4 linked regions of the Drosophila melanogaster genome follow. The protein of the gene in region 1 purifies or fractionates together with the protein of each later gene. This does not show direct contact. Each region holds a gene or a part of one and is shown in the gene's direction. Other genes may lie near its edges.

Region 1 (5,254 bases):
ATAGCCTCCCCACAACCTTTCCGCAGGCTATCTCTTTCCTACTACTACCCCATGTTCGGCCGAGCCCGTTCAAGCGTAATTTAATTTCTTGCACCATTTATTTATAGTGGTCCGGCAAAAGAACTCGGGCCAACAGGCAGGATAGTTTAGCCTGCGGGTAAATTATGGTTCCATTGCCAATTAGGTTAGGTCACAACCAGGATGTCCCATTGGGGATATATGTATGTATGTATGTAGATGGATGCACAGGGAGTACACCTAATACCAGTGCAGGGCTGCCAGGAAAATGTCATTGTTTGGATTTAGAATGTGACATTTACATACGTACGTAATATAAATATATAAATAATATCATTCTCTGAAAAATATCATAATGCACTCTTGTAAATTTAAAACAAATTTAATTTTAAGATAATTGGTTGAGATAAACATAGTTAATATTTTCAATTGATCCTTTAAATTTTAAATTGCAGGTGAATATCATCCCTGTGTGACCGTTGTATGCGGCATGGTTCCATGTCTCTTTCCCGTTATTCATTTCCCTCTGCTTTGTTTTTTTTTTTTTTGGTTTTGTTATGCGGTGGCATCTGTTTTTGCCACAGGAAAATGGTTGAGAGAGGGGAAGGCAGGGGGCGAAAGCGGAGAGTGCGTAAAATGCGTTTTAATTGAAAGGAAATGTTCAAAGCACATGTGCATCTGCTAGTCAACGAATTGGTTGGGAAAGGGGGTGGCAAGCCGAATGTGTCTGCTAATTGAATTACCTTTCGGTTGCTTTTCCCATTAGAAGTGCCGACAAGTTCTCGAGCTGCTTGTTTGCTTTTCATTTAATACCCATTTTGATTTAATTTTCGTTTTTCCTATTTTTCTGACCCAATTTTGTTTTGCTTTCGTGCATTAGCAGCTGTCTCTGTCTATCGCTGTGCAGCCAAGAGAGTGACCAAGAGAAACGCTCTCTCTCTCTCTCTCAGTTGTCCAGGACTTGCACTTTTCAAACGGTTTTTTAGGACACTGAAACAAATTGAATCTGTTTTTCTTTTCTATCAAATTTTTAGTTCTACACTTTTCTTTTTCATGATAGTTTCGGAATCAACCAATTTCTATTTGATCCAAATTAACAAAAAACAAATAACAAAAAATTAAAAAATATAGAAATAAAAGCTGCATAAAAAGTTGAATTCTAAATCATAAATATCATTTTTCCCTATTTGTCTTTCAGGCTTCCAAGATGGGTTCTGGTGATGCAGAGAACGGCAAGAAGATATTTGTGCAGAAGTGCGCCCAGTGCCACACCTACGAAGTGGGCGGCAAACACAAGGTGGGCCCAAATCTTGGCGGGGTCGTGGGTCGCAAGTGTGGCACAGCAGCGGGATACAAGTATACCGATGCCAATATAAAGAAGGGCGTTACCTGGACAGAGGGGAATTTGGACGAGTACCTCAAGGACCCGAAGAAATACATTCCCGGAACAAAGATGGTGTTCGCAGGTCTTAAAAAGGCTGAGGAGCGGGCCGATTTGATTGCCTTCCTCAAGTCAAACAAGTAGAATCGCCTGCGAAACAACAAGATCGGCCACCATGCTATCCAGAAAACTGCGCTTAAAGACTACAAACATATTCAAAAGATGACGTATTTCACTTGGATTTCGAAACTTTGATTGGGAATGGTCGAGCTCAAATACATTTCAAAAAGGTTTACTTTCACTTTAGCCAATTAAAGTTGATAAACCAAAAACCCTCTTCTTAATTCAAGTTGTGTGCGACGCGGGTGGAGGAAAGTGTTGTACCAATCAGCTTTGGTCACAGTTGGTTTTATGGTCCTACTAGCAAAATGTAATAAATTGGAGAAGCTTGTTAAATAATGCAAATTTTCCAGAGGCTTTCCAATATAGTCCCGTTAATAGGGGAAAAAATTACTTATACGCCGTGTGGTGGATAAATACGGGTACAAAAGCTTGCGACATTTTTTAATGCGTGGCCCCCGGTCACTCTGGTCACACTAATTACCTATCGACATAACGCGCGCTCGTCATTCGTGAAAAATCGGCGACGCTCGACGTTTGTGTTCAATGTAAGTAGTGGGTGGAATTTTTGTATTTTCAAGTGACGTAAATATTACCTTGAATAGTTATTGATTATCAAGCCCCAAGTCAGATAAAGATTAGAAACACTTCCGTGTCATTTACGTAACATCCAGCAGCTGTGTTTTGTTCTGAAAATGATTCGCATGCAAATTTAACGTATTCTTTGGGGGATGATTCAGGTTACATAAACGTGTCCTTGTGTGTGTGTGTATAAGTGTGATTTTTTATTAGATATTTAATAGTTTATTTAGCAAATATTAGCAGTGGTGTATTAATAGTAAAAATAGCATCCCAAAGTCACATTGCCATTGAAAAAAGCCCCGGAGAGAGTCGATTACATGAGCAAAGAGAGTGGCGTACCCGATCATCAGCTGTCTCGCTCGCTCAGTGGCAAAAATTAATTCTTGGATTTTTTGTCAATGCTTCAGCTTTGGAGTCTTTAAGCGCGCCACGTGGTTGCTAAGCAGGTTTTGCTTTCTGCGATGTGCAGTTTTCTATAATATAAATAAAAGAGAATTCACCTCTGCGAAAAGGCGGCTTATGTAACATTCGCTGCTCTCAGGAAACTTGGATGTTGGCCCAATTTTCACTCATCTCTTTGTTCTCACCACCTTGCTCACCCACACAAGGAAAAACACAGCTGCCTTTGGCCTGCTTCCAATTTTCCAATTGCACTTTCCCTTCATCTCACGCACACTCACGCACGGCAATTAACTGAAAAATACTCAACAAGGCCAAATCGGATGTTGACATTGTTGTTGCTTTGCCACCTCTCACTGCCAAAGTGCATGATACTCTACACAGAAAGAAGTGAAAAAAAGGTTGATATTAAATGCAAATTATGTGTAAAAGCGCACAAAATCAATAGTCTATATATATTAGGTTTGTTTTTATAGACAAATGCATATAAAATAAAATTAGTTTTCTAGAATTGAAAGAGCTTCAGCTAATCGAATTTCTCTCAGTCTATGTGCGTGATGTGTAGGTGAATTACTCACCGCAACGGTACTTTGCACTCTCAAGTTCAAATTGCTGCATGCAATTTATAATCCGGCAATTAGCAGGATGACCGTAACACAGACCCTGGAATAATAGAATAGTTATGTAAACAACTAACGTTTTTCGTATTATGATGCTTCCTGGAAGTTTTCCGCCTGTTGCTGAGCAGTTCTGACGCAATTAATCGGCGACTGGCAAATATAAGCGAGTGAGACACAAAGAGAGTGTGAGAAGGAGAGAAAGAGTGTGGGGGCAACATGTGACCAGCGTCTGAAGCTTTTTCAAAGTGTGTTTCTGATGACGTTGCGACGCCCTCCACGCGCGTATTAGTGAGAGCAAAGTATGTGGGTTAAAAAGGGGGTGGCCGCAAATGGAAATGCAGACTACGTTAGATAATAATTTCGGGCCTTATCAGAAACAACAGCCGACTAATGCACTTAGCATGAGCAATTTTAATAATTCCGTTTCCGCAGGGAGCTTATCAATTGTTTACATAACGGGGCAAGGGGACAAATATTAATTCACGGTCCATAACTACCTACATTAACCCATTATTTCCCAAGCATGGAAATTTTTGATGATATAAAGACGTTATTATTTTAATACCTTAAAAATATATAATATTATATAAGTAACGTTGGGAAATCAACTGGTTAATAAATTTTAAATTTCGGGTTTATTTATTCAATAATCTTTTGATAATGTATGGCTGAAAGTGAAGCTTTTATCAGTATCTACACAATGGTTCATTGGGGCTAATAATAAATGGTATCAAATATCGTATAACTATTTTTTGCAGTGAAACCAGAATTTCGGACTAAGTACATAAGCAAATGATATAAAATATATATTGTAATCAATTTATCAGAATAGAACAAATTAATTGGTAGCAGTTATGAACTTTGAACCATTTAGTAGCCAGTTTTTTAAGTTTTTCAAACCTAAGATGTAAGATAACAGATATATTGGTTACCCTTGTTTTATGAACCACTCATTAATAACAAACATTTCTTTTTACAGTCGAGTCCGTGTTAACACATTAATTAACCACATAATCCATAATGGGCGTTCCTGCTGGTGATGTTGAGAAGGGAAAGAAGCTGTTCGTGCAGCGCTGCGCCCAGTGCCACACCGTTGAGGCTGGTGGCAAGCACAAGGTTGGACCCAATCTGCATGGTCTGATCGGTCGCAAGACCGGACAGGCGGCCGGATTCGCGTACACGGACGCCAACAAGGCCAAGGGCATCACCTGGAACGAGGACACCCTGTTCGAGTACCTGGAGAACCCCAAGAAGTACATCCCCGGCACCAAGATGATCTTCGCCGGTCTGAAGAAGCCCAACGAGCGCGGCGATCTGATCGCCTACCTGAAGTCGGCGACCAAGTAATGGTGCTGTCCATCAACTTACCCACAACCACTGCAGGATGTCAAACTGTATTATTGTGTTCAGTCACAGTCCGGCACGCAAATGCAGCAGCAGCAACAACTACAACTACAAATCAACATAGTACAGACCTAAAGAACTACAATTATGTTAATTATAAAGTTTAAATAGGACAATTTATTATTTAATTTAAATAAAAAGTGGAATATTTAATTCAAACCCGATGAGAATTGTGACATCCACAAAAAAGTTAAATAATAAAAAAAGAACTAAAAAATGATATAAAATCTGTTTTATGCGAGGACCTGGTTTTTGTAGCTCGCAGGTCAAAAAGAATAAAAAAAGCTTCTTCAGATTTTTGACTCGGGCAACTCAAATTAAAAATAAGAGATACCAATCATATTTATAAAACAATTGTCCTGGCAATTTCTATCAATAGGTATCTGTTAGTCGTCAAACTCGACTGCAGCATACTCTTTGCGTCTGTCAAAAATGTTGTTGGCTGATCTATATAGGCCTTACTCATCTGAGTCGCACAAAGATGACCACAAATCATCCTGGGTTGCTGCAAATTCCTTAGTTCATTGCGTGGAGGTAGACATCACTAAAAACATCCAACAAAGAAAGAGTCGATACGTTACGCAGAAACATCACAATAAGATTGTATTACTGAGAGAGAAAGTAGAAAACTATTAGGGTCGAAATGCTCTCTTAATGCACATTCTATTTGGCCAATCGTTAAACAAGAATACACTGGTATTTTTATATTTTTTGGCTAATTTATGTATAT
Region 2 (4,661 bases), on another chromosome or scaffold:
CCCCATTTCCCAAGGGACATAAATTTCTCTAAGATAATTATTTTGTAAGCCGCTAGGCCAATTAAAATATTTTTAAAATAACTAAATTTTATTTGAGATTCCTTTTAAGGGTATGCAATTCCTAGCCAATTTTTGTGTCTCCTTGAGCAAAACATCAAAGATGTTGGAACAAACACAATCAAGCGCCAATAAACTAAAATAAATTAAAATGAAAAACCTGAAAAAAAAACGAAAGTAAAATAAAAAGTTGCTCAATTCATTGTTCTGTGAAGCCAAAAAAGTGTGCCAGAAAGTAAAAGTTGAATCACATCACCGAAATCACTGATTGGCCGAAAGAAAAACCTTTGCCAGGTATTTCCCAATTTCCCGTGAGTTTTTGTGCATTTTCATTTGATTTTCGATTTGGTTCATCAAACCGCATTCGGTTCATTCAAAGTCAAGTTCAAGTTTAAATGACGCCGCCCGCCTGTTTAAGGGTAAAATTCACAAACAAGATTTATATAAGCTAAACAAACAAAGTCAAAAGAACATTTGGATGCAAGTGCATTTGGCCTTGAGTTTATCGGCGGAAAAAGAAAACACATGCAGGAAATTCTGTAAGCGATCTGCACGATTGAAAAGGTCAACATGATCTCCATGAATGTATTTACTATTATTAGAAACATATGTACTCCCAGATCTGCCCTTCAACTCGTTTCGATGTAATTGTATATGATGGGGGAAGCTTTACCCATCTTTGTTTATTCGTTTTCGTAGGAATTTCCCTGGAAAATTTGTGTTTAGATTATCAATCATTGGGTCGCACGTGAGCAAAAAAGATATACCCTACAGGAGGGTATAATCGAAAAAAATGAGTTACTAATGTTTTAAATAATCAATTAACGGCAAATTTTACATAACAAGCTAGAAAATATCAAACTATTCATACAGATTTCATTATAAATAATATATTGTGTGCTTAAAGTATCTATTATTTGGTTAAATGTATCTGGACCAGTTTTGTTTATTTACCTGTGTGGGCATGTTGCTGGAAATGATTTTTCCATTATCAGGAAACTAAATTATAGCTAATGCCAAAGCCAAAAGAAAACATAAACAAATAAACGGAATTTAAATGCTTTTATGGCAAAAATTCCATCGGCCTCTAACCACATTTTGAATTAGTTAGTTACAAAAAACCAAATATTGTAATGTATTAGTTAGAGCTTATAGTTCACTGATCAATTCAATACCACAAGTGACGCCTTTCCCTTGAAACATTCAAAGAATATGTTAAAATTATGAAAAACCATAGGAAAAACAAAAACAGAAAATAGGGTGTGGGATTTTCTGAAAGAAATATGGGCTCATATGTATTGTGTATGTGTGGTATGACTTGGCTGGCTTTCTTTTTATGATCATCGCCAGCGTCATCGCGATTTCGGTATTGAATCGTTGCAAACAATGAGTGGGTGCCACCACACGATCTATCAGAATGTGGTGGGAAAGCTTTCCCATAACCAATCTCCGGAGCTTTGCCACACAGATGCGATGAAAATCGCTCACGGATAGAGCAACCTACGCCGTAAAGGAATGCGCCGTGCTTTTGGTGCCGAAACGGAATGGCAAAATTCTGAAACGAGGAAAATTGGTGAGGCGAATTTTCTTGGGGTTTGCAGTTTGAAAAAATTCTTCGTTGAGGATAGATCGCTATTTTTTAGGAGTAAATTTAAATTGTAAGCGAACCCGAAACATATTAAACAACATACAACTGAATAGTAAATTAAATAATTATAAACGAAATGAAAAACAATAAAATCAAATTAAATAAAGTGCACCATCACATCTGAATGTGGAGACGAACAATTAACTGGTGAAATAATTATGGAATTATGATCGCATTATGAATGATCCGATATGTTCCATAGCGAAAAGACATTGACTATAATTATATAAGAGAGATCGTACTCAATGACATTTGATACCGAAGTGTTGGAGCTCATCAAGAGTTTGTGCAGTGAAATATAAAAAACAAAAATCCCACATTGAATTAAATTCAAAATTAATTTAGTTTAATGGATAATAAAGGCCTATTTTAAACATACTTCAACTAAATTGTTCTTAGACTTTGCACACTTCTTCGATACTTAAGTAAATTCCGCTAAAAGCCAGAATAACAGAACGATTTCAACTCAAGGACATTTAAAAATAAAACCCAATTTAGCTGCAGCTTACACACAGATACACTTACATCCACTCACCCATTTACACGCACACACTGACGACACCTAGAATATTTGTTCTCATACTCAGAAGTGTGAAATTTGCTATGCAACAAAAAAATATTTTTATATTCGAGCAACCAGGAGAATACCACGATACATGAAAAATCACAAAAACCGAACCGAAATATATTTATTTTTAGTGAGATTGATCTTGCGTTAGCTGCTGTTGCCCGATCGCGGTATTATATTAGATTTTATGTATATGTTTTATAAACTTTGCACTGCTCTAAAGTGGCACACAGTCTGTTTATTTTCGAACCGAGAGACTTTCAACGCGAAAGCAAAAAATTCAACTGAGAAAACATCCCATCAATCGAGAGACAAGCGATTCGAATTCGTGCGTGCTGCCTGGCATTTCCCGGGAAATAGATTAAATTGAAAACGGACAAAAAAAAAAAATAAAATAAAATAGGCGGAAAGGAAATTTGAAACACATTGGAAAATTGCTAAGCCATCTCTCTTCCCAACTTTATTACAGCGAACGAGTTCAACGATTTTTTCGTGAACAGAACAAAACAAATCGATCAAAATGTTCAAAAACCACTTGGAAATGATTGGGCGCAATGAGAGCCCCAGCAAGAAGGCGAAATTCTGGCAGTCCTACATCAGGTCCCTGAAGGGTAAGCATTCACTAAATAAGCTCAAAAATTACATTAAAAGATAGGATAGTTATTCAAAACTACTATTGATTGCTTAGTCACAATAGTAGGGAGTTTGCATAGTTCCAAAATAATTCAAAAAACAATTGAAGATTAACTCGAAGTGTTCCCATTTCGATATGATTAAGGGACACTCAAAAGTGATATTATTAAACTCTGGTCGCCAGTGAGCAACACAAATAGCTTAGCCTATATGTGTATAGTCTATTTATTTTGGCAGGTGTCATATCAGCCAAGCTATATACTTAGACACGCTCTGCTGGGAAAGCTTTTCGCCATAGTATATTCGAATATATAGAGAGAAATTTGTAAAATATATATGCTCAGGCCTTAAACAAAGAATAGGCTAAAATATAGGATACACATACAGGGGGCGCATCTATGATAGAAACCGAATAGAAATCATACATTTCTGCAGCGCTGGCATTGAGCCAAATAGTGAGAATAGAATAGCCGAAATATTTGAAAAGCAATGAACTAACGCGTCGTTATCCAAACAACTATTTATAGGCTCCGAGGATATCCGTGCCCACGAGGCGCCCCGTGCCTCTCGTCCCTACAGCTCCTACCTGGACTCGCCCTCCTACAGGAGCATCTATGACGAGCCCGCCACCGCCAATGAGCGCGTCCAGTCCTCTGGCTACAGATATCTGCCAGTGAGCCGCGACACCTACGGCTACTCGCCCCGTGCCATCTACGATCATCACTACAGCCGAACAAGTAAGTTGGTACCATATACGGACCACATACTGTACTATCTACAGCCGATTCCCGCCTAACTGCTTCACACAGCCGAGTATCTGTATCTTAATGCTTCCGAAATCGGTGGCCTTGCAAATGTGGATATTGAACTAAGATATCCTGTTATTACCATTTAAAGTATATTTCAAATAATATAGATAAATGATTATGATTGTTTACATAACAAATTATCCGCCATGAAACTAAAAGATATTTTTAACATTCTTGAAACTGGAATAGTAACATAGATGAAATTCAGGTTCAAAAGTTTATGTCAATGCTTTCAATCTAGTTTTTTAGAAAAAAACGTTTAAAATTTTAATTAAAATTTAAAATTAAAAAAGGCAATCACCTGATTGTTATTTGCAAGGTTACATAAGCTTCGGTCCATCCGAACGCCACAAGTTCTTTCAGCCTTTCTGCTTCGCTTCGATGCGCCATCCATCAATCAGTCAGTCAGTCAGTCAATCAGTCAGTCAATCAGTCGAGTCATTACAATCATCTTACAACTGCAATCTCGCCACTGCCTGCTATTGAAGCTTTTGACAACACCTTGAATATCTCAAAACCGCCATATTTTTATGCGTTTCATTTGAGATGAAAACTGGTGCGAGCGCTATGATTTCATAAATTTAAAAATAAAAATGGACAGCGCCAAACGGCCAAATACAATTACGTCAATGAAAATTTTCGTTTCGTATCGTTTCGTTTCGCCTCGGTCGTGTTGATTTTGGCAAAAGGCCTCAAAAATGAACAAAAAAAATAAAAAAAATGAAGACAATAATATAGGCAACACACACAGGCGCTATATATCAAGTCAGGTATATAAGCGGAATTTTTGACTCAATTTTTTTTTTCGGTGCGTGCTCTGGGATCAAATGACTGTGGCGGCCCTCGGTGCGCGGAAACCGAAGTTCTCTTTTCCGATTTTCCGAATTTCCACACACTCACACACTGGCAAAAGCCCCAAGCACCCAAATCCGAACACCCAGCCCCC
Region 3 (5,198 bases), on another chromosome or scaffold:
GACTTGCGCACATTAATCTGCGCAGATTCGTGGCAACAATCGGCTGCTGATAGCAGATGTTCAATCAAGGACCAAATCGGCCTAAATACTCATGCACCAGTTACCCGCTTGACAACAGGTGGTGCCCCAAGGAGTAAACAATAACAAGGCCAGGGAGGCTGCGCGGCCAAAAGCCGAGCCGAGGACTCAATGGATTGAGAGATAGGACGAGACAGGACAGCCCAGAGAGTGGGTCTGATGAGCATCAGCCGGAAGTTGGGCACACAGCTGGGCTCAAAACTGGGTCAAAGAAGGACCTGTCCGATGGCACGAACATGGACGTGTGTACATCTACATTTACATAGAAAGTCAAGGACATGGGTGCATGGAAATGGATGTGCCGGCAAAGCCAATGGCCTGCTTGGCTTAATTGCCACTTCCTTGCCAGATTTGCCGCCTTTTAAGCACCTCGCTTACCCTTCAGGCTTGATCGGTCATTATATACCTACCACCCACCATTTGCCTATGCAAACAATTCGAGCATTTAGTTGTTGCTGTACATTTTTGCTCTGAATACGCTTCATGTATCTGTGTCATAGTTTTTATAAATAGCACGCATTAAAATGTTGTACAGGCGGCACACACAAGGCACAAGAAGGCGCCTGAGGGGCCAGTAATGCGCCTTCTATGTAGATGAGATGCCAACGAGGAATAGTATGCTTTTGGAGCATGTATAGTGTATAAATATTGAAAAAGGCTGGTGTTCAGGTGTTCTGGCAGCGGACAAACAAGAAATCGGCCATTTAACACCCCCACATACGACCGGCTGACAAAACATTTCGAATGATAACAGGCAAGACCTGAGAAATACGTACGTTTGCCAAAAAGACGATCAGGGTCGATGAGTGTATAAATATATACATGTATAGGCCACATTTATAGTACATAGCCCCATAGCCCCATCTAAACATCTAAACATACCCCGTAAAACCCCAGCATGGAAGCTCAATCTATTGCGCAGCGCTAAACAATCAATTCTCAAACCCATTCTCCTCCCGCCTGAATGAGAAAATATTATATTATCTGCAAAATCATCTGTAACATCGAATGATATTCAACACTATCCGGCTGGGAATGCCACAAGCGATTATTATTTTGCCTTCACGAACGAAATAAAAAGAAATATTCACAGAATAGCCGAAAAAAAACAAAATGCTTAAAAATAGCCCGGCTAGAGAGCGGACAACAAATGGCTCTGGCTCCATAGGAGAGCCTCCCAATATCTGGTGGTCGTTGGGATCCATGGGATCCCAAAAGAGAGTGGCATTCGAAAAAGTTCCCCCAAGATGAAAGTAAATTCTTGCCATCGCACATACTACAGCATATATTTTGGTGTGTGTATAGCCTTGCGCAGGAAAAGAGCGAGCGTTTCGTCATCCATTCGTATTCGTATTCGTTTTTGAATTCGTTTTCGAAGCTATAGCTGTAAATGTATCTGTATCTGTGTCTGAGTGCTCGGCGATCGGCTGGTTGGCTTTCACCTCAGAATTACCTTGCCGTACTGCCACTGACGAATAACGTTCAGTCGAGACCGAGCTCATCCGCGATACAGTTGATTTTCGCATCAAACAGACAAAATGGTGAGTGCCCAGTCGGCCAAGGAGTCTTCACACATCTTCCACCAATATCCAGTGATATAGATGTACATAAATATATGCAGCAGCTGAAAACTGAAGATTTTCCACACTCGAACTAATGCCAAACTCTCAAATCTTTTTCGATTCCGTTGACAGGCTGATGTTCCAAAGCGTGAAGTTGAAAGTAAGTTAAAACCCCGCACGAAAAGGATTATCTTTAACCTCAAACGAAATCCATCAAAGTTAAACCAACATATTAAATGAACGAGGTAACGGAAAACCCAGCAGAAAGGACTAAAAACAAGTATTATAATATCCATAAAAATACAGATTACATAATGTGCGCGTGTGAGATACACAACAAAAAGTACACAAAAGTCGGTGAACATATTTCGTAATCACTTGGAATATATCGCATACATATACGCATGCCTATATATATAACACTATGCGGAAAATTTTCATTAAGGAATGCTGTCGTCTATATGCATCGCCTGAGCTATTTTCATCGATCGACCATCCAAAACCAGAACGGATAAAGGTTGCCAACACAATTCCGGTAGAGAAAATCTAGTGCAAAGTTAAGTTTGATTTGCGTTATAGAAAAGCCGCGGAAAACAATGAAAATCGTGTGTGTATATGTCGCGAACCCGAACGCGCGATCCTCGTCTTCGAGCCGAAATGCTTCTCGTTTAGAGATCTAATTTTGGCCAAGTTATTTCTTTAGATTTATTTTCGATCAAACGCACAGCGAAAGAGATGAGCAAACTATGCGACTTTGTGTGTGTATATACGCCTATATACTGTGTATATAGCGCAGACGAGGGCGAAGGCGTTCGGTTCGGGTGTCGGATTACGTATACGTAGTGTGTTCTCGGGGCTGGCAACTCTCCCAGATCCGCACTCACGCATACACTCACACACTAAGTAGGCAATGCCCAGCAGCCATGTCAAGATTTTCATGATGACCAAAAATGTGCGTACCAGAAATTTCAGGGTTACCACATCGACCCCGTTTTCGAAAATAAAAAGGGTGGTCAACACCCACCTCTGCTAAAGTATTTTTAAAAACAATTAATGAGGCAGCATAATAAAATGAAACGAATAAAAACAAAAATTTGATGGGATTTACGTTTGATCGACTAACATGAACATGAAGATGTAAATGCTAATCGAGTTCCTTTTGCGCAGATGTCGAATTCGTTTTCGAAGTCATGGGCTCCCCCGGTGAGGGCATTGATGCCGTCGACCTAGGTGATGCCCTCCGCGCTCTGAACTTGAACCCCACCTTGGCGCTGATCGAGAAATTGGGCGGCACCAAGAAGCGCAACGAGAAGAAGATCAAGCTGGATGAGTTCCTGCCCATCTACTCACAGGTCAAGAAGGAGAAGGAGCAGGGCTGCTACGAGGACTTCATTGAGTGCTTGAAGCTCTACGACAAGGAGGAGAACGGCACCATGCTGCTGGCTGAGCTGCAGCACGCCCTGCTGGCGCTTGGTGAGTAATCAACATGCATATATCCTGGGATATCCCTCTAAATCATTGTGTGCATTACAGGTGAGAGCTTGGATGACGAGCAGGTGGAGACCCTGTTCGCTGACTGCATGGATCCCGAGGATGATGAAGGATTTATCCCCTACTCTCGTAAGTATTCGTTCAATGGACGATACTCATCTAATGTTTTTTGTGCATATACGATTTGTAAACGCCGTTTGTCTATTCCACATGTCACTCTTTGTCTGCGCACAAACCAAAAAAATCCCCACCATTCTGCACTGTGCACTTTGTACCACCAACTCGACCTGAAAAACACCAACAAACCTAAAAATATGTGTATGCGTGTATCCATGTTTGCGTGTCCATTCCTCCAACACTACACTCGCAAAAAAAAAAAAAAACCGACCAACTCCCGAATGTCAAACGTATGGTCTCTGCACGGTGATTGCGTCTTGTTTACCCGCCGTTTGTCGCCGATCCACTTGAAATTGAATGAAAACAGAGTTCGTCCAGCGCCTGATGAGCGATCCTGTCGTCTTCGACTAAACAGTAAGTAGGGATGGAGCCCATGGCCACTTCGCCGATCTCTGGATGTCTACTTGTCCAACAAATTTGGGGAATACCTTGCTAATATGGCCCTTTTCTTCGTCTACTCCACAGCATTCCTCGCCAGAATGTGTGACAGACCAGATCAGCTAAAATAGTTGAAAACAACAGCTTCAACAACAACCAACAAACAACAACAACAACAACAACAACACCAACAAACTTTTAGCGACAACCATTCTCCATAGATGTTATATTCATCGCTAACTCTCTCTATCTCTCTCGTATATTATTTTAATTAAAAATTACTTCTGCTACTACAACTGCAAAATTGAACTTCAAGATAATATTATTTTTTAAAAAATAAAAAAATTTAAATTATAAAATAACGAAAACAAAAAAACTGAAAAATATTCAAAGTTTTGTGCACATTATTTTGTTATGAATTATTTTGTTGGTTCAGCCAAAAGCAAAGCAATAGTTAATGATTATTTTATATGAGACGTGAATAAACCAAATAGCAAATAATATAATGTTTAGGCAAATTCAACATCCGAAAGCGTCCAAAAAGGGCAGTTAGCAAAACGCCAAATGTGTAAATTGTGGCCTTTTTGCGTTCTCAATTTACCAAGTGAATGTGTGAAAGTGAAATAAGTCAAATGTATTTAAATAAACACTAAGAATAATTGTGCGGCCGATGAGGTGTTGCACAATCAATATAAAAGAAGATCAGGGTGGTGGAAAATTTGGGATTATGCTATATAGGCAGCCAATATTAATACAAGATGTGGCTGACTTGTTTAATAAACTAAAAGTAATAGAGAAAGTTTAAAAATCTTATACTGAATCCACAAAGAAATATCTAGATATTTTCGCCGCAGACTGCAATACTTCAGCTGAGACACAAACCACCAACGAGAAGCAGGCGAAAGACTAAAATACCGTGTACTAAAATGTCGTTTTCGCTTTTTCTCAACGAGAGAGAGCTTTCGAAATGTTTGTTAAGCTTAGAGCTTGGTTAATATGGTTTTTGTCTCTACTTTCGTAATTATTATTTATTTATTATATTAAAATAGTAAGTGTAAGAAGGGGTGGAAATACCCGCATCCTGGTATCTACCTTCCTCGTCTAGTCAACAATAACAATTATAAACTAATCACAAAAATAGCTTGGGGGTTGAGATTCCGCTGAGCTTTTGCGTCGACGTCGAATCAAAAAAGTGTCAGAAAAGTTTCGGTTAAATACGACGACTACGAATCAGTTGAAATCGAGATAACAAACCGACAAGCCGACCGAGCGGGAGCTGTCTCGCTTTTTTTAAAAATTTGCACCAGCAAAAATCCAAATAAATTAGCAGAGTGCCAGTGAAGTAAGTGAGCGTGAGTGCGCCAAGTCAAAATATAAATATTGTCATTTACGCCGTTTCAAAATATATTTCCGCGAGCATTTCTCGAATCGAAAGTGAACCCAAAATATATTATTCCAAGTGAAAAGGACTAGCCCAAAGATACACACACACACACACAGGAAAAATACCGA
Region 4 (7,089 bases), 4.4 Mb from region 1:
AGGTCTTGCGTTTGTTATGACATGAACAGCTGGTGGCGGTGTTGCAAAATGCCGGCAGGTTTAAAAGCGTAATTCAAATTCGTAAAATTGGTTTCAGTGGCAATGCATAGGGACTAAACCAGTCCCGCAGAAAAATTGCCATTAAATCTGTACGGAGACTATTATTGTTGTATTCCATGTCCTGGAGTACTAATCCAATGCCAGCTGAGTAAGTAAAATGCTCTCCCGAAAAACTGGAGGTGCCTATAAAGGCAACCCTATCGGTGACTAAGTACGAGTTGCAGTTAACTCTACCGCCGGAAATCCTCTCCAGTTCATTTGTGGTGGGTACAACAAAACGTCGCTGCAAGAGCAAAGAAATTGTTAATAAAATTGCCAATACTTATAAGCTCATTACCATTTGTATATCTACTCCTTCCGTAATTTTGTCGAGCGCTTGAAGGGACCTCAAGAAGTGATCCTCGCTGGGATCCGAATACTTCCACCATGAAATAAGCACCTTAATGGCCACACCGCGTTCCAAGGCAGCTCTACGCAGGGCATTGTCTATGACCGGCCAGTACTCCAATTTGTTACTCCGTCTTAGCCGAGGAGAGTACTCCATTAAGGAGAGGTATATAACGTCTGTGGCCTTGTCGATAGCCTCTAAAATGGCATCTAGCTCTCGGGTCCTTCCAGTAGCGATCAACTCTGGTGGTGATGTGGATAAATAAGCTCTCATTGTATGTTTTTTGTTGATGTTTAGCAAAAGCGGTCTTCTTTGATTGATGTGCGTGTGGTATATCCACGGCCAGCTCTTTGGCACTTCATTGCTGCCCAGGTACCAATACGCCTTGAAGATCTTTCCCAGATCTAGAGCAAGATGGGGACAATTTCTGGCCAGCACACCTAGTTCCTTGCGTTGCGTCAGTGATCGCCAGTCCATGCTAGCTGTGCCCAAGTAGAAGTGCTCCCCGTCCACTAACCACAGTTTTGAGTGCAGAAAATTAATGCCCACGACGTCGGCTGCTCCGTAGTTAGCCAAGATACGGGCATCAGCATGCCACAGGCTATCGTGGCTGCGATTAACCACAATCCGCACGCGCAGCTTGGGTCTGCCGGCATCTCCATTCGACAGTAGCTGCTGAAAGAGTTGATCTCCAGGCCCGGTGCTGCTATCGTTGACGTCCAAGCCGCGCAGTGTCCAGTGCGGAGAAACGATGTCCAACGATGCCTTGGCCCTGCCTAGTAGTAGCTGCCAGGCATCAAAGGTGCTACTCAGTTGGGGGTGGCTTTGCCATTGGCTGTAGTTCAACCCCAAGGGCAAGCTCTCCACCAGTTCGAGTTGACATGGTAACGGCTTTTCCACCGGAACGGGGCTGTTTCCGTTTTCATTTCGATGGTAGGTCTCCCAAGGCAACAGAAGCACAATCATCACCAGAACGAAGAGTATAAGCACTGGTATGATGTAGCCGTGCTTGCAGGAACAGATATTTCGCTCATCCTGGAGCCCTAGGCCGCAATTGGGACGCCGGCAACACGATGTGGTCAAAGGGGTTGGCTCTTCCGGTGCTCTGGGCACTGGCTGGTACTCTCCGGGTATCTCATGCACTACGCGACGCTCGGACATGGCAAGGGGATCAGGACTAATGCTGACTGGCCATTGTCAAACATTTTTCACAGCCGAGCCTATTTATTATTCGCGCAGTTGTGGGAAAGTATCACCCGCCCACGCAAACAAATGGGCAGTGTTGGACAGCACAGCGCGGTAGTCGTCTGCGCTGGCTGCTAAAAAAAAGCTAAAGGATAAATTAATCCAAGTCCCTGCTCAGAAAAATAAGTTGTCGTCAGTGCATTATTTCAGCATTTACTTCGATTTAAGTTTTAACGCCATAGAGTCCATTAATTCTCTTGAAGTTAATAAATGTTTATCGCTTTAATTCAAAACTGATAAACTTTCTATGGTCCTATTTATTTAACGACCCAATTTTGGCGGGAAACAAGCCGGCGGAACATTGCTGACGCGTATGCGTGACGCCAGCTAACACTGGTCGCCGTGGTAAAGAATTTAGTCTGTCTTAAAATCTTCCGGCTGAGAGGGCTGAAAATTTTGACGGCTTCGAAGCATTTGCTGCAATATCAATTTCGTCGGGTTTATTTCGAGTATCGCTTAATCAGGACGCGACCATGGCTGCGAGATTGATGAACGCCCAGGCACAGGTAGGTTCTAGAGCGGAGCCTGTGCCTCCAGTCGGCCAATATATAACCACGGCTATATATACGTTTACGTATAGAATCTGTGAATGGAACCCCGAAATTCCAAGCTGCGATAAAGACAACTGGACAGAGCACTGCGCGAAAGTTTACAAAAAATCATTGCCCATTTCTTACACACCCAGCAGGATGTGGGCAGCGAAAAATAGCAAATTTTTCGCACAGCGTTTTCTAACCTAAAATCATAAAATTCGAAGTGGTTAGGTAACCGAGTTCGCAGTGTTTGTGATTCTACAGGCCCTGCATCCCAAACATGTATACTGAATACGCAGCAGTGAACCATGCGAAATCGTTAGCTCTCAACAATTAACAGCGATTCGTGGGGGTTCGATGGTTGGCATAGTTGCATTTACATAATCGCCGGGGTCCAGTTATTTAACCAGGAGGCGAACACCCTCTAGAGCATATATCTTGTGGCGGAGGACCGTCTTATCTGTGACAGGTTTACTTACACTTTGATAATGCCAGCACTAAATATAGCTTAAAAAAGTTGCGCCGTTTAACTTGAGTATCACGCGCATTGGAGGAGTTTTGCCTTTCAAGTGGGGTTTTTCCACGTCAGCTTCGAGAAAGGTTTCACTGTACTCTGCCCATAAGTTAACGACCTATTTGACGTAATTGTCATTGCAATTGTTTCGATTTGCGTGTATGTACATACAGTCGTGTCGTCACGTGGTTCTTCTAATTGGAGTGTTCTGTAGAATATTGTAACAATTTGAAAGGCTTACAAACAAACTATATTTCCAGCTACTTTTTATTTTTTTATTCTGCAGTTCGAAGAACCTTAAAGCACTTTGGCTAGCACTTAAAATACTTTGATTGTTAAATGTAAACTTTCAATCATTTTACTAATCTCAAAAAAATATTTGGAAAAATTTCACTCTGAAGCGGTAAATGGATCAATGGATTATTTTTGGCTATTCAAAAATTTCAAGACGATTAAAATTTATTAGCTTTAGCAATATATTGATCTTAAAACAAGTGAAAGCGGTGATAATAATGTTTTACATTTGTTATATATGTATGCAAGATTAAATGTACAGTAAAGAAGAATTTTCACAGATATGGTCCCCACATGATTGTACTCTTGTCAGAATATCTTTGGGAATTATCATTTCCTGATAGAGGAATCAATTTAATTAAAGTGACGAGGACTCGTCCTCTTGACATGATAATCAAGTGTTTATTGGGCTACCAAGCGAATAAATAAAATCTCACAGTGTGCGAAGTGCAAATAAACTAGAGAATCACATTGTGTTAATTACTTGATCTTGATTGCTAAATGTACCACTTCACCATATTTAACAGTTCGACTTCTTATCTGCTTTCCAGGTGTGTCGACTGGGCAAGCATGTTGCGTCCGAAGCCACAGTGGTGCGTCAGTTCCACGCCTCCTGCTACACCGCCTCCAAAGTGGCTCTGTCCAAGTTCGACTCGGACGTCTACCTGCCGTACGAGAAGCTGAACAAGCGCCTGGAAGTGGTGCGCGGTCGCTTGAACCGCCCACTGACTCTCTCCGAGAAGGTGCTGTACTCGCATCTGGACGATCCCGCAAACCAGGACATCGTGCGCGGTACTTCGTACCTGCGTCTTCGCCCCGATCGTGTGGCTATGCAGGATGCCACTGCACAGATGGCTCTGCTTCAGTTTATCTCCTCCGGACTGAAAAAGGTGGCTGTGCCCTCCACTGTTCACTGTGATCATTTAATCGAGGCCCAGATTGGTGGACCCAAGGATTTAGCCCGTGCCAAGGACCTGAACAAGGAAGTGTACGATTTCTTGGCCAGCACCTGTGCAAAGTACGGATTGGGCTTCTGGAAGCCAGGCAGCGGAATCATCCATCAGATCATTCTGGAGAACTACGCTTTCCCCGGCCTGCTGATGATTGGTACTGACTCACACACCCCCAACGGTGGTGGCTTGGGTGGCCTGTGCATTGGCGTTGGTGGTGCTGATGCCGTCGATGTGATGGCCGACATCCCCTGGGAGCTGAAGTGCCCCAAGGTGATTGGTGTCAATTTGACTGGCAAGATCAGCGGCTGGACCTCGCCCAAGGATGTTATCCTGAAGGTTGCCGATATCCTGACCGTCAAGGGAGGCACCGGTGCCATCATTGAGTATCACGGCAAGGGTGTTGACTCTATCTCTTGTACAGGCATGGCCACCATCTGCAACATGGGTGCTGAGATCGGAGCTACCACCTCTCTGTTCCCCTTCAACCAGCGCATGGCTGATTACCTGAAATCGACAGGCCGTGCTGGCATTGCCTCCGAAGCCCAGAAGTACCAGGCCAAGATTCTGTCCGCTGACAAGAACTGCGAGTACGATGAGCTGATTGAAATCAACCTAGACACCCTGGAGCCCCATGTTAACGGACCATTCACTCCCGATTTGGGCCATCCCATCAGCAAGCTAGGCGAGAACTCGAAGAAGAACGGGTACCCTATGGACATCCGTGTAGGTCTTATTGGCTCTTGCACCAACTCTTCGTATGAGGACATGGGTCGCTGCGCCAGCATCGCCAAGGATGCCATGAGCCATGGCCTCAAGTCGAAGATTCCTTTCAATGTGACTCCCGGATCAGAGCAGATCCGTGCCACCATCGAGCGCGACGGCATCTCTGAGGTGTTCGACAAGTTCGGCGGTACCGTTCTGGCCAACGCTTGCGGTCCCTGCATTGGACAGTGGGATCGTAAGGACGTTAAGAAGGGCGACAAGAACACCATTGTCACCTCCTACAACCGAAACTTTACTGGCAGGAACGACGCTAACCCGGCCACCCATTGCTTTGTCACTAGTCCCGAGTTGGTCACCGCTCTGTCCATCGCCGGTCGTCTGGACTTCAACCCGCTGACCGACGAGCTTACTGGTGCTGATGGCAAGAAGTTCAAGCTCAAGGCTCCCTTCGGCGACGAGCTGCCCGCCAAGGGTTTCGATCCCGGCCAGGACACCTACACTGCTCCCCCACCCGTAAGTACATTTAAATTCCCAAACTGATTTATATTGTTCTTAAGAATCAATATGGAAATCCCACAGAGCGGCGAAAATGTCAAGGTGGCTGTCGACCCCAAGTCGACGCGTCTGCAGCTGCTGGAGCCTTTTGACAAGTGGAACGGCCAGGATCTGACCGATCTGACTGTGCTGATCAAGGTTAAGGGAAAGTGCACCACTGACCACATCTCCGCTGCCGGACCCTGGCTGAAGTACCGTGGCCATTTGGACAACATCTCCAACAACATGTTTATCGGAGCCACCAACTACGAAAACAACGAGATGAACAACATCAAGAACCAACGCAACGGTAGCTGGGGAGGAGTTCCCGACGTAGCCCGCGACTACAAGGCCAACGGCATCAAGTGGGTGGCCGTCGGCGATGAGAACTACGGCGAGGGTTCGTCCCGCGAGCATGCCGCTTTGGAGCCCCGTCACCTTGGTGGTCGTGCCATTATCGTCAAGTCCTTCGCCCGTATCCACGAGACCAACCTGAAGAAACAGGGTCTTCTGCCTCTCACCTTCGCCAATCCCGCTGATTACGATAAGGTTTGCGACTCTTAGCTTCTGTGACTAAGGTCATATTAACCATATCTTTGTACTTCAACAGATCCAGCCCACGAGCAAAATCTCCCTGCTCAACCTGAAATCCCTTGCGCCTGGAAAGCCCGTAGATGCCGAAATCAAGAATGGCGACAAGGTCGAGAGGATCAAGCTTAACCACACCCTGAACGACCTACAGATCGGCTGGTTCAAGGCCGGCAGCGCTCTCAACCGCATGAAGGAGCTGGCCCAGTAAATGGTCCTGGACCTACTTAAGACACCCAGTCAAGAAGCCTGATCCCAACCTTCTTCCTGTAGGTGAACACACTCAAATTCACAACGGAAGCAATCGAATTATGGTATTGTTATTCAATTCTTTTCAAATTGTTTATATTATATTTTGACTATATCGAGTGTGCAGCTTTAAAAGTGAATTATGTAGCCGAACGATAGCGAGAAATTGTAAGAGTTTTATATATATAATTATACACAATTTTATTTTTAATTCTGGCTATGCATGCGTTTCCTTCAATTTTTGTTCTTTTTGAATTTGTCCAAATGCTCTACAGATTGCCTCTACTATGAAACTGTTTTAAGTGCGAATAAAACTCAAGTAATATGTATTAAACCGATTCTTTCATTTAATAAACAACAGTTAAAACAAAAAAGCGGACAATAAGTGCCGTCAATTCATCCCGTGTCCTCTATATTTTCTTCATTATTAACATAATTTTATCAATTATAAGACGTAAGACACAACAATTTGCACAATAAAGCATAATATCAATAATAGAATCTACTGGGGCAGATTACTTAATTATTCACCCATAGCTTTTGGAAAATATGTCGAATTGTCAATCAAATATAAATTATTAGTAAATCCAATTCTAGGACTATGAAACGCAGAGCTCAAAGTAAAACTTCCGTTGCTTCCAGCACGGATTTCTTTTCACTCTCCGACAAGCCATCGTTGGGAAGAAGACGAGCCCTACTGGCTGCAAAACTTAAGCGTCAGGAACAGAGTACAACGTCCTTTGACTCCAGCACAGGCTCCTACACTTATACAGACGCCACTTCTTTGCGAAAGACCCCCATCACCTTCTCACCTAGCCCGGAGTTCATGAAGACCGCCAAGGCTAAATTAAAGTTAATCGCATTGTATGAAGATCACAAATGCTTGTGGAATCAGCGCAACAAAGATTTCTTCAATTTCGAGCTCAAAGACAGAATCTGGGATGCGATTGCCGATGAAATGAAAGCGGACTCGCCATCTGGGTTTTGGAAACATATGATTCACAAGCT

What was found.
Region 2: the proteins of Cyt-c-p (region 1) and Mf purify together in Drosophila melanogaster (affinity purification with mass spectrometry, with the first as the bait; one large-scale study listed by BioGRID). This does not show direct contact.
Region 3: the proteins of Cyt-c-p (region 1) and Mlc1 purify together in Drosophila melanogaster (affinity purification with mass spectrometry, with the first as the bait; one large-scale study listed by BioGRID). This does not show direct contact.
Region 4: the proteins of Cyt-c-p (region 1) and mAcon1 purify together in Drosophila melanogaster (affinity purification with mass spectrometry, with the first as the bait; one large-scale study listed by BioGRID). This does not show direct contact.

What each region holds. Positions count from the first base shown.
Region 1 is NT_033779.5:16,717,910-16,723,163, forward strand, and holds Cyt-c-p (cytochrome c proximal), read left to right. Parts: upstream 1-2,022; 5' UTR 2,023-2,067; intron 2,068-4,099; 5' UTR 4,100-4,140; coding exon 4,141-4,467; 3' UTR 4,468-4,735; downstream 4,736-5,254. Other genes in the region: Cyt-c-d (cytochrome c distal), read left to right, coding at 1,226-1,543. UniProt on the Drosophila melanogaster protein: Electron carrier protein. The oxidized form of the cytochrome c heme group can accept an electron from the heme group of the cytochrome c1 subunit of cytochrome reductase.
Region 2 is NT_033777.3:15,177,262-15,181,922, reverse strand, and holds the start of Mf (myofilin), read left to right. Parts: upstream 1-1,652; 5' UTR 1,653-1,715; intron 1,716-2,572; exon of another isoform or gene 2,573-2,601; intron 2,602-2,742; 5' UTR 2,743-2,793; coding exon 2,794-2,884; intron 2,885-3,433; coding exon 3,434-3,643; coding exon of another isoform or gene 3,644-3,702; exon of another isoform or gene 3,703-4,661.
Region 3 is NT_033777.3:27,656,531-27,661,728, reverse strand, and holds Mlc1 (myosin alkali light chain 1), read left to right. Parts: upstream 1-1,551; 5' UTR 1,552-1,616; coding exon 1,617-1,619; intron 1,620-1,772; coding exon 1,773-1,800; intron 1,801-2,807; coding exon 2,808-3,113; intron 3,114-3,173; coding exon 3,174-3,260; intron 3,261-3,615; coding exon 3,616-3,659; 3' UTR 3,660-3,662; intron 3,663-3,773; coding exon of another isoform or gene 3,774-3,817; 3' UTR 3,818-4,651; downstream 4,652-5,198.
Region 4 is NT_033779.5:21,166,606-21,173,694, forward strand, and holds mAcon1 (mitochondrial aconitase 1), read left to right. Parts: upstream 1-1,964; 5' UTR 1,965-2,166; coding exon 2,167-2,199; intron 2,200-3,585; coding exon 3,586-5,223; intron 5,224-5,289; coding exon 5,290-5,793; intron 5,794-5,854; coding exon 5,855-6,043; 3' UTR 6,044-6,579; downstream 6,580-7,089. Other genes in the region: CG43345 (uncharacterized protein), read right to left, coding at 74-343, 398-1,609; CG31627 (uncharacterized protein), read left to right, coding at 6,683-7,089.